Lytechinus pictus: one gene and its partner. The protein of the gene in region 2 purifies or fractionates together with the protein of the main gene of each other region. This does not show direct contact. Links are inferred from orthologs where the notes say so. Each region holds a gene or a part of one and is shown on either strand. Other genes may lie near its edges.

Region 1 (7,684 bases), on a different chromosome or scaffold from region 2:
CACCCACTCTTTAATTGCCATTTGTATACTTATAATCTCTCTGTGTTAAGTTATTTATCTAATTCGGTACAAATAAAATGAAAGTATAATACAATGAGATGATATACATAATAAAAACAAGTTGATAGAAAATTATACAAGCCTCAGTGAAAATCATGAATATGTACGTATTAATATGAAAGAATACTGTGTAATCTGGGGCCCGTAACCAAAAGCTTAGCAATGATCGTAGAACACTTTTCTACGATTGATTCCATTGACTACAAAACACAATCAATCGTGAAAATCAAGCGTACGATTAATCGCTAACTTTGTTTTTATACTTCGTAACTCTGCATACTGTATATGCAAACATACTTTTACCTTTGCTATGTTTCAATCGTTTATTAACTTGTCATATATATCACAAATTCAACTGTATATATATATATATATATATATATAAATTAAAAAAAGTGGGTGCTGCCCAGGATCAGGATGCTGGCTTGTTTAAAAATGTCTGACTGGCAAAAAAGAAGCTTATTGGATTGGTAAGGAAAATTTTGACAAGCAAAAATAAAAGTTTTCAGTCTAAATATATATATATATATATATATATATATATATATATATGTTTGTATACCTATCTATCTATTAACCTTTGTGTCTAAAACTATCTCACTCGGACACAAAAGTTTTATATACTCACAGAATATGATACAGGACATCACCAGAAGAAAAAAATGATCCATGTTTTCCCTGAGATAGCCAAAGTCATCTTGGAGTTGCATCAAAGCAAGTTCACTTCCATTAATTGGCGGCATTCTGTGGTAAAACAAACGTTCCTTCTGCCTTGGAGAAAGTAATCGAATCAACCTTAATCAGATACACCGCACATATAGGACGTGAGAGTTCTGGCGCCTCGTTCAGTTCTGGTGGAAGACTCCGAACGCCAGTGAATGGGTGTCCATTCTCCCGCAGAATGCGCACGCAATAAAAAGCTGCTCGCTCCAGGATCCAAGCGTGAACACAAGGTCACGTGCATCGATTGGGACCACGTGGTGGTATTTTAGTTCCGTGAATGGAAACTTTGATAATAGTCTACAGGGGCGGATCATGCAGCCTTCGCCAATAGGGGGGGGGGCCCGGATTTTTTTTCAGCCATATTTTCCCCGATCGGCCGCTCGATTTTTGGTTTCTTTGAAGGGGTAGCCCTAATAGTCACTTTTTAGCTTTATTCTTATTACTCAACATAAATACATGATCCTTATTTATATAATGCGAGCGCGAAGCGCGAGCTAATTTTTTTCTGGAAATCTTGTGTATTTTTCCCCTAAAATTTGAACATTCTGGGCAATGTTTGTTATCCTGAAAAAGATGTGTATGCAACTAAATAATTACTACGAACACGAAGCGCGAGCAGAAGTGAACTGATGGAAAAGGTACCTGTTAAAGACTGCATGCAGTTAGCCATGAAGTCGTTACCTATTTTAAAAATCAAATAATTCGAGCGCAAAGCGCAAGCTGAAATTTGTTGAAATTTTTACCCGAAGAATGGAAATTCTAAGCACTTTTTGTAACTTGAACATAATAGGTATATAACTAAACAATTAATGCGAGTGCGAATTAAGCGCGAGCGGAAAAACTAGAGATTTAGACCTAAAAAACGGGACACTCTATTCATGTTTTGTAAATAATGAAAAGAATGGGTAATAGGGGATCTTTCTACATTAATAATGAGAGCACAAAACGCGAGCAGAAAATTTATGATATTGTGATCTGAAACTGGAAATAATAATGTCCTTAGGACATTTCATCATATGAAAATGAAGACTGTCTTCTTATTCCTCTTGCTAAGCTCGAGATGAAACAAAAGGGACAATTCAATTATTAAATTAATATCTTATTCATTAATGCCTAATGAGGGGGCGAAATCTGATGATATGATGGCCTGAAAACTGGACATTTCAATCAGTTAATATGTTATTAACCATTAATGCGAGCGCAAATGGCGAGCCTAAATTTTTTATACACTGTCATGAAAAGGGGATTTTAAGTAGTTTGTTGTATAATCAATATTGAGACATACATAACTCGCCAATCAAAATGCGAGCGTGCAGCGCTAGCTGATACGTTTTAACAATCAGACCTGAAAAGGGATATTTTGTAAACTTTATGAAATACACGAAAATAATAGGTACCTGATAAATTTGCGAGCGCGCAGAAAATGCTAATATTCAGAGCATAAAACTGACATTTTTTCAGAGCACTTTAAAAAAATCAAAATAAATTACACAAAATAATGAAAGTTCGATTTCCGAGATGAAATATGTTTTATATATTGACTTCCAAACTTGATATTTAAACTCCATAATGAACAAGATATGTAAATGAGCTAAAAGGCAATGCGAGCGCGAAGCGCGGGCGAACATTTTGTTTTTAATGACATGAATTATTTTCTTAATTATTTTCCAAGTCTTCCCCTCATCTTAATTTATTCACTCGTCTTCTTCTTCTTATGTTTCCCCTTCTTTTTCTCCTCTCTCCTCTCTCCTCTTCTTTTTCTTTTTTTCTTTCTTTCCCCTTTTTTTTTCTTCTTTTTTTGCTCCGCCAAAAGGTGGGGGGGCCCGGGCCCCTCGGGTCCCCCTGGATCCGCCTATGGTCTACAGACTTCTCAAAATTTAGATGGTATAGGAACGGTTTTACTTTTTGATTTAAACCTGTCTCCCACTATTTACCGGGCAGAGGAAAGCGACTCCGGCATCATCACCCTCGCTGTGTGTGTTTTTTTTTTTTTTTTTTTTTTTTTTTTGGGGGAGGGGCAAAAGTGGATGTTTAGGAAGCGAGGGGTTTAAATATTTAAAAAAAGTTTGTGCTGCCAGACTAGTTCAGCACACTTGCTTGTGTTTCGGAGTTGGGGTTTCCCCCATTTTTTGGTTAGAGTTTTTTTCACGTGGTGTGCAGCTTCTCTTCTTCACTCTCGACCTTTATTCATCCATTCTGATGTTAAAATATCTTGAGGTTTGATCGATTTCAGGATTATCTTCTTTTTATTCTAGTCTCTGACCCAACAAAAGAAGATTTAGGTGCTGAAAATACATTATTTCAATGTAGGTCTATAAAAAGGGCACTAGAGAGTTGTGACGACCAATCAGGTTAGAGAAGGGGATGAAAGCAAAGGATCGGAGTAGGCAGACACAAAGGGAAGTCAGTGTAAGTAAGGCCAGTAAAAGACCCTAATAAAGCTGTGAGGGATCAAGACAATTGGGCAGGCAACATCAAACAGGATCTGGAACAAAACAGTGATGGGGGTGGAGGAAGAGATGAATAACAAGAGAATTAGTGAGAGGTGGGTCAAACAGGTTACAAAGAAAGGCATAATAAACTGGTGCATAAGAGTGGGGGGAAAGAGAAACAACTGATAATGTGCAAAAGACATATAAGTAAAAAGGATAAAGCAAACAAAAATCCAATTAATAAAGATTAACTTCATGACGTCATCCGCCTTTTCTTTTCATATACATTCCGGACCTTGTTCCGGACCTTGTACCGGATTTGACAGTCCCCTCGACAAAAATATTCATCTAAAGTTGCATGCCACGAATTAAAAGACCCTTTTTCTATCTATCTTTCTATCATCTATCTATCTATCTGTCCATCTTTCTTTCTGTCTTCTTCGTCTTCTTCTTCTTTCTTTCTTTTCTTTCTTTCTTTCCTTCCTTCTTTCTTTCTTTCTCGTCTCCTTCTTCCTTTTCTTCTTCTTCTTCATCATCTTCTTATTCCCCTTTCTTCTTGTTCTTCTTTTTCTTCTTCTTTTTCTTCCTCTTTCTTTCCTTTTCTTCTTTTTCTTTTTTTTCTTCTCCTTCTTTTTCTTCTTCTTCTCCTTTTTCTTTTTCTTCTTCTTCTTTCTTTCGTTCTTCTTCTTCTCATTCTTCCTTTCTTCTTCTTTTTCTTTTTCTTCTTATTCTTCTTCTTCCTTCTTTTTTCTTTCTCTTTCTTCTTTTCTTCTTTCTTTCCTTTTCTTCTTTTCCTTTTTGTTCTTTCTGTCTTTTTCTTCTTTTTCTTCTTCTTCTTCTTCTTCTTCTTCTTTCTTTCCTTTTCTTCTTTTCCTTTTTGTTCTTTCTGTCTTTTTGTTCTTCTTTCTTTCCTTTTCTTATTTGTCTTTTTCTTCTTCTTAATTTGAGCTATGTAAAAATTAAGTATTATTATCATCTTATCTTATCATAGTCACCTGCAGTGCAAGCGATAACGTGGGATCGGAATCGCCCTTGTCATGATATGCATGCTTGTGGGTATCTATGTTCAAGAGGATCGTTGGGGATCGTTTTTGTCTATTGCCTTTCTTTTGAGGGACTATGATTGTGGGGGTATTATGCTCTTCATTGCGAACTGAACCATGATGTTCAGTCTTGCCTTATAGCCTCAAAAAGATGTCCCAAACAACTCTTCCCAATCAATGTTTATTATGATGTATCACGCGTGTTTCGCGTGATCGACCATGCCTTTGGCCCATGGTAGCGCGTCAATAACATAGAAAATGTCGCTAAATTATTGTTTGGTTACAAACATAATCAACTCGACGGATTGTTATGGTTCTCTCTTAAAAAATCGAGAACTAAACAGGTGATAAAGTAAGCTGAACGTTGCCTCTATTTTGTGTTTTTGTTTCCTTTTGTTTGTAGTTTGTGTTTATTTTTTGTTTTGTGTTTGTTTGTTTGTTTATTTTGTGGGGAGATCATTATTTTTTTCATTTTTAAATGATTTCAATAATTAATGTCAAAGATTCAGGGGAAACTGTATGACCCTAAATGCCTTTTACAAAAAAAAAACACCACCATATGTATCAAAATTTACTCTATTTACTCGTTACTCTAGCTGTTAAACGATAATCAAAGTTTTCATTTTTATCTTATACCGGAAAGCATCATAAACGGCCTATAACATACATCATTGTTTCCCTCATCATATAAACACACATTTAATCGCTTTACCCCCATCAAAATGTTTACAACACCTCATAAATAAGAAGAAAAAAGAAGAGGAAGTCATTATTACAACTCACCAAAGCCGTTTTAAAACATTATTAAGGTAAGCAACCGGATTTCAGAACGCATATCAGACAACATTTTACGAAAGTCAAGTGATTATAAATGTTTTTAATGTAATAACATTTATATTCACTGGTAATTAATATTGGTTATGTACCAGCTCAGCTGGCATTATACCAGCAAAAAGCTGTCCTGTCGAGTTCCTTCGGAGTTACCATAATGAGAATCAGAAACATACTGTGCTTGTTTCATGCATTTCTTACTCCTTGAAATATTAAGATATTATGTTTATACATTTTGTTCAAAATATGTCCAATTTCATTTTACTGTGTTTCATTTCTATACTGAATAAGAAAATGCAAGTATTTTCTTTTATGTGTCACCATGGATCTAGTAGGATCCATGGTGTCTGTGAGTGTGTGAGAATTAATACGACTGTGTTGTGATGATGTAGGCCTATATGTGTTTTATAATTTGCATGAATACACTTTTTGACTGTGATATCATAGGAATACGAATAAACATAATGAACTCTCATTTGACTGTACAAAATGTGCATGCTATGATAACATGGTCCATCGAGCGCATTGTCCTTGACCTTGTGTATATTTCATATCAATTATTACTTGATGCACATGGCGCACAGAGGTGGGGGGCTTTGGGGCTAGAACCCCCCCCCCCCCCAAAAAAAAAAAAATAATAATAATAATAAATAAATAAATAAATAAATAAAGATAATAATAATAATACCACCAAGAAAAAAATGAGAAAAGGAATTTTATGTTAAAAATGTCAAAACTATTGCTCGCTCACTCGCAGCTTTCTTGAACTTTTCCCCGTGCGCCACTTCTCGGACCCTCTCAAAGTCTGCGGTTCATTGTGGCTGTTTGCCAACTTATTAAATCATGGGCTTATATATTTATAATATTTTCCTTTCAGTGTTCGATTATCATTATCTTTATCATCATTGATCATAATTGTATTGTTTCTGTTACATTCGACCTCAATTCCTGTTGCTTAATATTGATTTATTCATTAAATATCTAAATTTCAAAAAGTCAGCAAAAATCAAATTATATTCGAATCGTGATACTATTAATACGAAAATGTTTTTTTAACATGGTGAAAATATAAAACGTTTTCATGCAAGTATAATGCAAATGTAATAAAATGTTATAGTTATTATCATTATCATTATTCATGCAATGAAATGTACGGCGTTATTAGTCCAATATACAACACAGTACAGATAATAGATTCACTGGACTGCCAGGTAGGTTCAAATGAAATTAAATGAACCTTACTTTTGTCATTGGAGATACATTTATTAGACCCTATATGCATTGAATGCTTACAAAATGTGATGTCGAACAAGAATGTCTCTAAATCAGTGTTATTTCTTTGCTTTAATTACTTTGCATTTTTATTTGGGAGGGGGTAAAGGCTGCATATAATACATGTACAAAACGCATACAAAAACACACTGTCCAACGATTGCCCAAACCTTAGTTACGTCATTATTTTTTACTAGTTTACGCTTTAAAAAATGTGGATAAAATATAGTTACTATATGACAGTTCTGCTTGTGATAATGTTAAGAAAACATTCATATAAAATGTGCCGTGCATCGATCAAAATTTTGGAAGTAAAATGTATTCTCGGCTACTACATGGAATTTATTTGTATCGGCTTTGAAGTGTACAGTCAAACACTACGTTGAAGTACAAGATTTAGCTTGAAATAATAAACATTTACTTATACAAAATGGGTTGGGGTTGAAAATACATTTCTAAACATTCAGAATATTCATCAAATTATATCTTAACTTTACTTATTCAACCTTTCGCAGTCATCCACTCAGAATGTCACAGACGGGAAAGGTATGCATAACTATGCCTGTTGCTACTGCAGCAGCAGCTTCTCTACTTTGTTCTGACCTCGCATATAAAAAATAAATAATCACTATTTGGAGCATTATTTATCAAGCGTCAAGCCACTTGAGGCCAAGTCACACATCATTGAATCATTGTGAGACACAATAAACATGTACCTTCAGAATGAATTTTTCCAACTTATTTGCTATTGTAGTTCCCTTTCATACCCCAGATCATTTTTCGATCGTCATGTTATTATGTGTAGTCTAAATCACTCACGTAGTTGCTTTTGAAACAGTATATTTGATGTGAATTGTTTGCAGTTATTGAAGTAAAATCACATAGGGGCCCACCGAGGGTGATTTGTGACGACACTACCGAATGTGCATTGTTATCATTTTTGGACAAACATGATTATACCAGCCGCATCTAATGGAGTTCAAGGATGGCTTAACGTAATGAGCAGAAAAAAAATAATGAAAACAGAATATAAGGAAGCTGAACGTGGTTATAGGGCCTATTATTATGGGACAAAATCCTGGGGCCAAAAGATGAACAAAAAATACTAGAATGTTTGGGATATTTGTTAACTTTATGACTTGACTTTGAATCTGAGCTGCAAGATCCCATTTGCCTTCTGTGTTTGTAAGATATTGATGAAACCTGAAAAGTTGCACCCGAAATATTTATCTATTTCAAAAGAAAGTGAAATATAATAAATGTAAAGCGACGGCCGGGATACACCATCTCAATTTTGTTTCGTAATACATGATTAATCTCCCA
Region 2 (7,745 bases):
TAGCACATGCAGCGGGTGAGAATTAACAATTAAAGAAATATAATAAAAATTAATGTTGAATCCATAGCACAGGAATTATAAGGATAAATCAGTAGGACAAGCAGTCAGATCCTAGTCTGCAGGCACAGACCCTGATTGAAACTTTGATCTAACAAGTGGGTCTCCATGCAAAAAATTACAAAACTTGCTGTTTCCATTCTGAGTGAGAGGGCCTTTAGTACACAAGGCATTAATAGGCTGCACATTCAGACCCTTAACTCGAGTGAAGGGATTGCACAGCAGACTAGTCAGATCCAAGGAAAATTTTGGTTTTTAAATGAGGTTTGTAAACACTAATGAGACAAACACAGTGATACATGTAAATGCAGGTGTTCAGTACACTGTTGTTAACCAATCTATCAGGATTTACATGAAGTGGGGATGTTACAATAAGGAGTTACACGACCCAGGCCTCTCTTCATTATACCCTACTTGCTTCCTTTTTCCCCTTTGCTTTTTTAAGTCTCATCTCTTTTTCTTTTCTTTTTTCCACTACTTGAAAAATCATAGGGAGGTCAGATAATTTCTTACTTTAAGAATAGTTATCCTTGCTCCTTCGTCTAGATCAGGACTCATTCCAAGGAAGTTGTTGATACTCTCCTCATCAGTTGGCATGGTAACGGTATGCAGGAGGTTCACAGTGTTGTTACACAAGGTTGTCATCTCCATCTGATATGCATGTTTTGATCATGAGATAGAAACATATAAGAGGAAAAATTATATTATCAATTATTTATTATCGTAACAAGTACATGCATTGATTCTTTAAATGATCATCATATACAGAAACCCTTTAAACAAATTAATATGTGCCCTTTTATCCTTTTTAGTACATTTTTTTTCAGATCAATCATGTTTTCTTTTGAATCAAACACCTGTTTAAAACAGTGTGATTTAAACAAGAAAAGACTAATACATGACTAATAATAATACTAGTACATGTGTGTACTGAATAAGACATTACATGACCAATTCTGGCAAGACAAGCCATAATTCATCATTCTAATAGGCATCTAAAATTCCCTAAAATCAATATTTCAGAGTTAAGAAAGGGACTACTCCCCATTTTCTTGGTAGTTCCCAACTAAATCAAATTGTTCAGATGTGAAATGTGAAATTTCAGCAAGTTCAAGGGAAGGTTTGTTTGTTTGGTTTTTTTTTTTGCTTGTTCCCTATTTCTGCCAGTTCAACGCAACTATCCCCCCCCCCCCCTAAAAAACATGAAAATAAATTACTTGACAAAATGATAGGACAATTTGCTCAATGGAGGAATAAACGATAGACGAAATGCTAATTTACGACGATGCTAGGTAATATGGACAAATGATGTTAGACGATATGTAAAAGTTATTGAGAAGCAGATTTAGCACAAGAAAGGATCATGGGTCATGCATGAAATTGTGCAAAACATATGAATAGCCTTGTGAAATACCACACTTCACTGAGAAAGGGAAAGAACATTGTACACACCTGGTTTAATTTTTCTTTTGACTGCTTTGATATATGATGCTGAATGTGCTGTAATACATGGTACCTGACGTCATCAAACTCCATGTACTCCCTAAATCGACCAATCAACTCACTGGAAACTACACTCTTGGAAAGAAGCTGAGGTACCAATAGCTGTTAAAGACAACATTTCTTTTAAATATGATATCTGAATTCTCGTTAATACTATAAATCAGAGATTAAAATTTAAGACAAATAGTTAAAGTGCATACAAAATTAAATCAAGCAAAGTCAGAAATGTATCATTGGAGAAAGATTTGTTTATGTGTAATTATTCGATGTTAAAGAAAACCAATACAATAGCAATGACTCTGCACAGGTAAATAACCCACTAAATACTTGATTCACCAACGCACTTGCTGATAATTCATAAATAATTCCATGTGTGAACATCACATTGTTATAATCATATGAAAGAATGTTTTATTACAAATCATTTCATATCATGTTTGTGTGGAATCACTTCACGCTTGAAGGGATATAAAACATTATTTATGCTAAGAGAGCAAAATTTGACTTGCACCAACTAATCCTAGCTAAAAGCTGTCATTTCATTCGGAAATAAAAGAGGTACATTAATTACTCACTTAAATGAAGACATTATTCATTGTAATCTGTATGTGACAACATCATTACTGTAGAAGCCAATTTGATTATGAAAAGGCAGCTAAATTTGGCACAACTCAAAGTTTGCATTGTCTAGTATGTCTCCCCAATGTATTTGTTCAAGAATCAACACATTATACTAACGATTAAGGGGTAAAACATTTGTTCAAATGATGTGGGCCTACATGTATACTTCTTTGCAAGCAATTTTCCGATTAACTTTATTACACGCTCTGTACGTATATTTGAAATATCAAATATACTTATTATATGATTCAGCTTAGATGTTAATGATGTAATATAAAATCAGAAATGAACTCACTGCGATAATGTGAATGGGAAAGAAGAAGTTTGAGCCTTCCTTCTTAAAAGGATGTTTCGATTCTTCTGCTAAAAACTTCATCAGCGTCCTCATAGCAAGTTCCTTGAATACAGAAATAAAAAAACAAATCCCTGAGAAACCTTAACAATTATTAAATTATGACAATATGATTAAAACATCAACTACGCAAGCTACACAGCTAGAGTGGATAAATAATAAAGAGGGAAAGTGATGTTCAATTTCATAAAACCTAATTAAACTTTTCTGTTGTATTACTTTGTAAAAACAACAAATATGTTATGAGTTTGGATAAGCATGCCTGGATAAAAAAGACACACCTACCTGCAAGACGGGTACTGTCACAAAGGTCCCGACCACGTTGCAGAGACACCTGATGGCATTGTTGTACCTGGCCTGTAACCAAAGCCGATACTTCTCCTTGGCACCTGATATAGCAGAGGTACAGACCATTCCATCTTCAGCCAAAACATGACAGAAGATCTTCGATGTAGCCTGGATGGCAGCACTGACAATGTCCTTTTCATCATGCTAAAGAATTGAACATGGAAGAAAGAAAGGCATTTCATCATCAGCACAAATGCACACAAAAATTTGCTACATGTACGTAAGTACCACATGGCGGCACAGACAGGCAAATTTACAAGAATTTTGAAAGTAAAATGAGATCATTGTGGTCCTTTTGTCTACATTTGGGGATGGAAATATTTAAGTAAGTTAGTTCACTTGATCCCTCATGTAATATGTATGTTTTGAGTGTACAGCTTACAGATCAAAGTTTATTATTCTCCAGAATTGAGGAATATAATCTCCCAAAACATATGTCAATATTCTGATTCATTTCTAGATTTATATGAATGTTAGAGGAGTAGTGGAGTACTATTACCCTTGGTACCTTCCCACAAAATGGCAACTAACCCGTTGATATCCATCTACCCCTCATTTCCCTCCTCTTCAAAACCAGTTTTAGACAGTTTGCTAGTGATAATAAATGAATATTTACAATGAATATGAAACTCCAAAATCAAAAGGATCAAATTAGGAACCACTATAAAACTGTCTTATTAAGTCCTCGTGGAGTGAGTCCCATTCCTGTGTTAAGACCATCCAATATCCTAAACGTGTCATATATAGGAGGGGACTCAGATAACGAGGAGTACTCTTAAAGGTTGTGATCTAAAGTCTTCTTCTTCTAGTTCTATGGGAAACTGAATAGATGAAAGAGGACTCGCACCATGAGGAGTAAGACAGCTTTATAGAGATTTAGTGACAGTGTTTTTAGTGAAATTTTTATTTTATAGTTTATAATTTGTGCATTACCACATTGCACACGGTCACATACATTAAAAAGTAATTAAGAATATATATTAATCTTATTAATATCTGATTACACCAAAAGAAAAAGCAATCTAAAATTACTTGGTTTCAGTGATTTCCTTAGGATACAGTGACAGTCTACATGTATATCAACATTGCCATTGGCAAATGTTTTTGTTACTTTACGTCCGTTCCTAGACTGATACATCCACTGTTTCAGAGCAGTTTTTATAAAACTTTTTTTTTGGTCCTCCTCCTTCACAGATGGATGTCTGCCATAGGCTTCGTAATGGTGGAGGTTCGCACAATGCTCAACTACAGCGTCTATGGAGAAAAGGGTGCACCCTGCTTGATTACTGTGTACATGTTATTCCTCCTTTTAATGGCCATAAAGGAGCGCAATAATAAAGAGAAAATAATAGTGAAGAAAATCAGTTTACCATTTTCCAGCACGCATATTGCGATATGCGTGCTGTAGCCTTGGCAAGAGACATAGAAATCAAGATGGCGATGAAAACACGGTGGCAAGTTTTCCCTGTCTTTTCATAACATTTTTATCGTTTTTTTAATGAATTCTTGTTTAAAAATGACATCAATATCGTAGAAATGTTGGAAATGAAGTTGTATCCCATTTACATGATATAGGGCTAGATCTTCTAGAAGTAGAAATCTCGGGGGCGAAAGTTTCAGGGTTTTTTGCGGTACACGCACATGAATGGGATACAATCCCTGGCTCCATGGTCGAGTAAGCATACGTTAGAAAATGATTTTTACTCTCTAGGAGTAGGAGCCTCCTGGCTAGGGCTGCCTTGGCTTGACTCGAAGGGTTAGACATGTACATGTACTGATGTAGATTAGACCCACTCACACGTATTGCGTGGTTAGTATACTAGTATACTGCCTCGGGCGAAGTTCGTGCAGGCTCCACTCCACCTCACTACCGCTACACTACGCTACACCTACCCGAACTTCGGGACGGTGAACTCGATCGGATATTCCGAGTGACAAAGGTGGGATAAAAATCTGGTTTATTGTAAAAATTAAAGAAACGAGAAAGAAAAATAGCTTAATTTCTTACTCTTCACCCTTATTTCACTCCGTGTCCATCCTCCGGTTATCCTCAAAATTGGCGATTTTGGGCCAGTATCAAATTCCTCACACGTATTATTCACAGCCGATTTCAAAACATTGTATACGCGTATCGAGTGGACCTTCCTAATAGCAACACTGATGTGTGTTGCTGCCCTCTACGTTCGTTGCACATATTCATTTGAAGTACGAGGATATGTATTTCGTTTGTTAACGCCCACATGAGTTGCTATTATTATTATAATTGGAATATCGTTGGATAAATTGTTTAATTTTATGCTTTATAAAGAGTTATCTTTACAACGTCGTCAGCCTAATTACCGCGAGTGGTTGATTTATGAAATGAGTTGGAATGTGCGGAATTACGAGATGCCCCAAAGCCGATGGTACGTGATCAAGTTTAATTATAGTATTCACTTTCTGGGTTGAGCCAATCATTGTGCTTGAAAACGGGTTTCCCGGAATTCCCGCCCTGTGCCACGTGCCCTGTTAATCTGTTGTTTGAGTGCGAATCAGCTGATTTCGTGACCTCAAATATTCTTCATGTTGTTTATGCTGGGTGGGGGGCTATAAAATTAAGATCGTTCTCTTTTTTTTTTCTTTTATTATCTGTTCGTGAATTTCTGTAACTTTAAAACTGCACCTATGGTTATATTGTGTTGCAATATATTGAATCACGTACCTCTTCCCACTCATGGTGCAAGAAAAGATTTTTTAAATTTAAAATCGCCAAAATATACATGTAAAGAAAGATTATTCAGCCGTTATCATCAGTAGTGTAGATACGTCTATAATCGCATACATTCGTAATTCCGAAGCTTCGTTATTCCGAAGGTTTGGATATTCCAAAGGTTCGTATTTCCGAAGGTTCATATTTACGAAGGTTCGTAATTCCAAAGGATCGTTAGTCCGAAAACGAAATGAGGTTCGTAATTCCGAAGGTTCGTTAATCCGAAAACGAAGTGAGGTTCGTAATTCTGAAGGTTCGTTAATCCGAAAAAGAAATGAGGTTCGTAATTCCGAAGGTTCGTTAGTCCAAAAACTAAATGATTAACGAACCTTATTTCGTTTTCGGACTTACGAACCTTCGGAACAAGGAACCTTATTTTGTTTTCGGATTAACGAACCTTCGGAACAACGGACCTTATTTTGTTTTCGGATTAACGAACCTTCGGAACATCGAACCTTATTTCGTTTTCAGATTATCGAACCTTCGGAATAACGCCACAAATGTTCAGATTAACGAACCCTTTTACGTTTTCGGATAAACGAACATCGGGGTATAGGCAATTTACGTGTTTCGGAATTACGAACCTTCGGAATAAGGAACCTTCGGAATTATGAAGTGTAACCATCTAAAATTATAAATATGTATTCGTTTCGAATGGTGACTTCTTCACCAATCCCACATACACGATCTCAAAATCTCCTTTTCACTGTCCACGACCCCTCCCCTTTCGCTCTCTCCCTTGGACCATCCTACAACCCCCCTCTTCCTCTCTCTTTCACACACGCTGTATTTGTAGGCCTACATAGTGTATGATGTAAAAATAGAAGTCTGCTTTCCTGTCAATTAAGCTATACTTTCAAAACATATTTTAAATCGCAATTCATTTTATAATAAGAACAAATCGTAATATTAATAAAGTCATTATGAATGACTAAAAATATTTCTCACGCTCGTGGTGAGCACATTCATTATTTTATAGGTGAGTAAATAACAATACAAATGAACATAGCAATAACTGATAGTGAGAAACGAATCTTGATTGGATCTTTATAGGTTCCTTGTTTGTATGTGTGTGTGTGTGTGTGTGTGTCCCTGTGTGGGTGTGTGTATGGGTGTTTCTAGGTTTTGTATGTATGTAAGTATTTCTTAATCGATTACTTGTTAATTTAATTTGTTGACATTGTTTTCATAATGTATTTTATATATTTTATGTAAAGGGCCAATATTCACAAGCTTCGGCTTCATTTTGGTCCTAACCATCTTATGATATATGTTTTGTATTTGATTTTATACAACACTATTGTTTATTGGTTTTAATAAATGAACTTGAACGTATTATTAGTATAAACATCATCAACAGAAGTCTTATGAGAGTTATAGTTTCATTGAGTATCGTATCTGAAAAAAAACCAACAAAAAACATGCAAATTATATAAGTTGGGAACCCCGTCTCATGATACCGATGCCCATTATTTGGAAGCCTCAGAACTTCCGAGGCTTTGATAAAGTCAGAACAATATTTGGATTTTGATAAGGGCATGGCGCGGCGCAAGGGGCTACCCATGCAGCGCATGCAGTAGTCAGTCATTGACATAAGAAGCAACACGTATTCACAAAATAAATTGCACTTTCTAAGGATGTAGCGATCTAGACATTGGAAAGTATGGAGTAAAAGTAGCGATATCATCGATGTGAATAAATCTATAAACTGTAAGAATAAAATGAGATTGACTTTGAATCCTTTCCTTTAGTTTGTGTTTGACCTTTTTGACATTTACAATCGCAATTCGCGCAACCGTTACGGCTGTGTGGCCGGCCGGAGAAGCATTAAATAGACATAAAATGTGTTGCATTTAGCAGCAATCTAAGCTCGTCGATATTGATATTTTCGCTGCGCGGGAGGGGGGACACCCCCCTCCAGAACCCTCCCCAGCCCCCGCCGCTACGTGGCTTGCGTCGCTTCGCGCCGTCAGCATGGTCAGAATCAATGAACCTGGCGAGAACGTTGTTTGGAATATGGGTGTTTTGGCATTATCGTGGTTTATGTCACCAGTCCATTCATTGCCGTTTATTTCGTCAGCGGTGGTGACATCTTTCCTCTCCCATTGACTTTGT

Evidence for each region.
Region 1: the proteins of nucleolar complex protein 4 homolog (region 2) and KRR1 small subunit processome component homolog purify together in Homo sapiens (co-immunoprecipitation; 3 studies listed by BioGRID and IntAct, with this or other methods). This does not show direct contact. The link is inferred for Lytechinus pictus from reciprocal best matches to the Homo sapiens genes NOC4L and KRR1.

What each region holds. Positions count from the first base shown.
Region 1 is NC_087253.1:12,255,470-12,263,153, forward strand, and holds the start of KRR1 small subunit processome component homolog, read left to right. Parts: upstream 1-4,589; 5' UTR 4,590-4,610; intron 4,611-7,684. Other genes in the region: putative ammonium transporter 1, read right to left, coding at 689-803. UniProt on the Homo sapiens protein: Part of the small subunit (SSU) processome, first precursor of the small eukaryotic ribosomal subunit.
Region 2 is NC_087246.1:28,806,846-28,814,590, forward strand, and holds the start of nucleolar complex protein 4 homolog, read right to left. Parts: upstream 3,052-7,745; 5' UTR 2,948-3,051; coding exon 2,819-2,947; intron 2,579-2,818; coding exon 2,477-2,578; intron 1,663-2,476; coding exon 1,510-1,662; intron 709-1,509; coding exon 571-708; intron 1-570.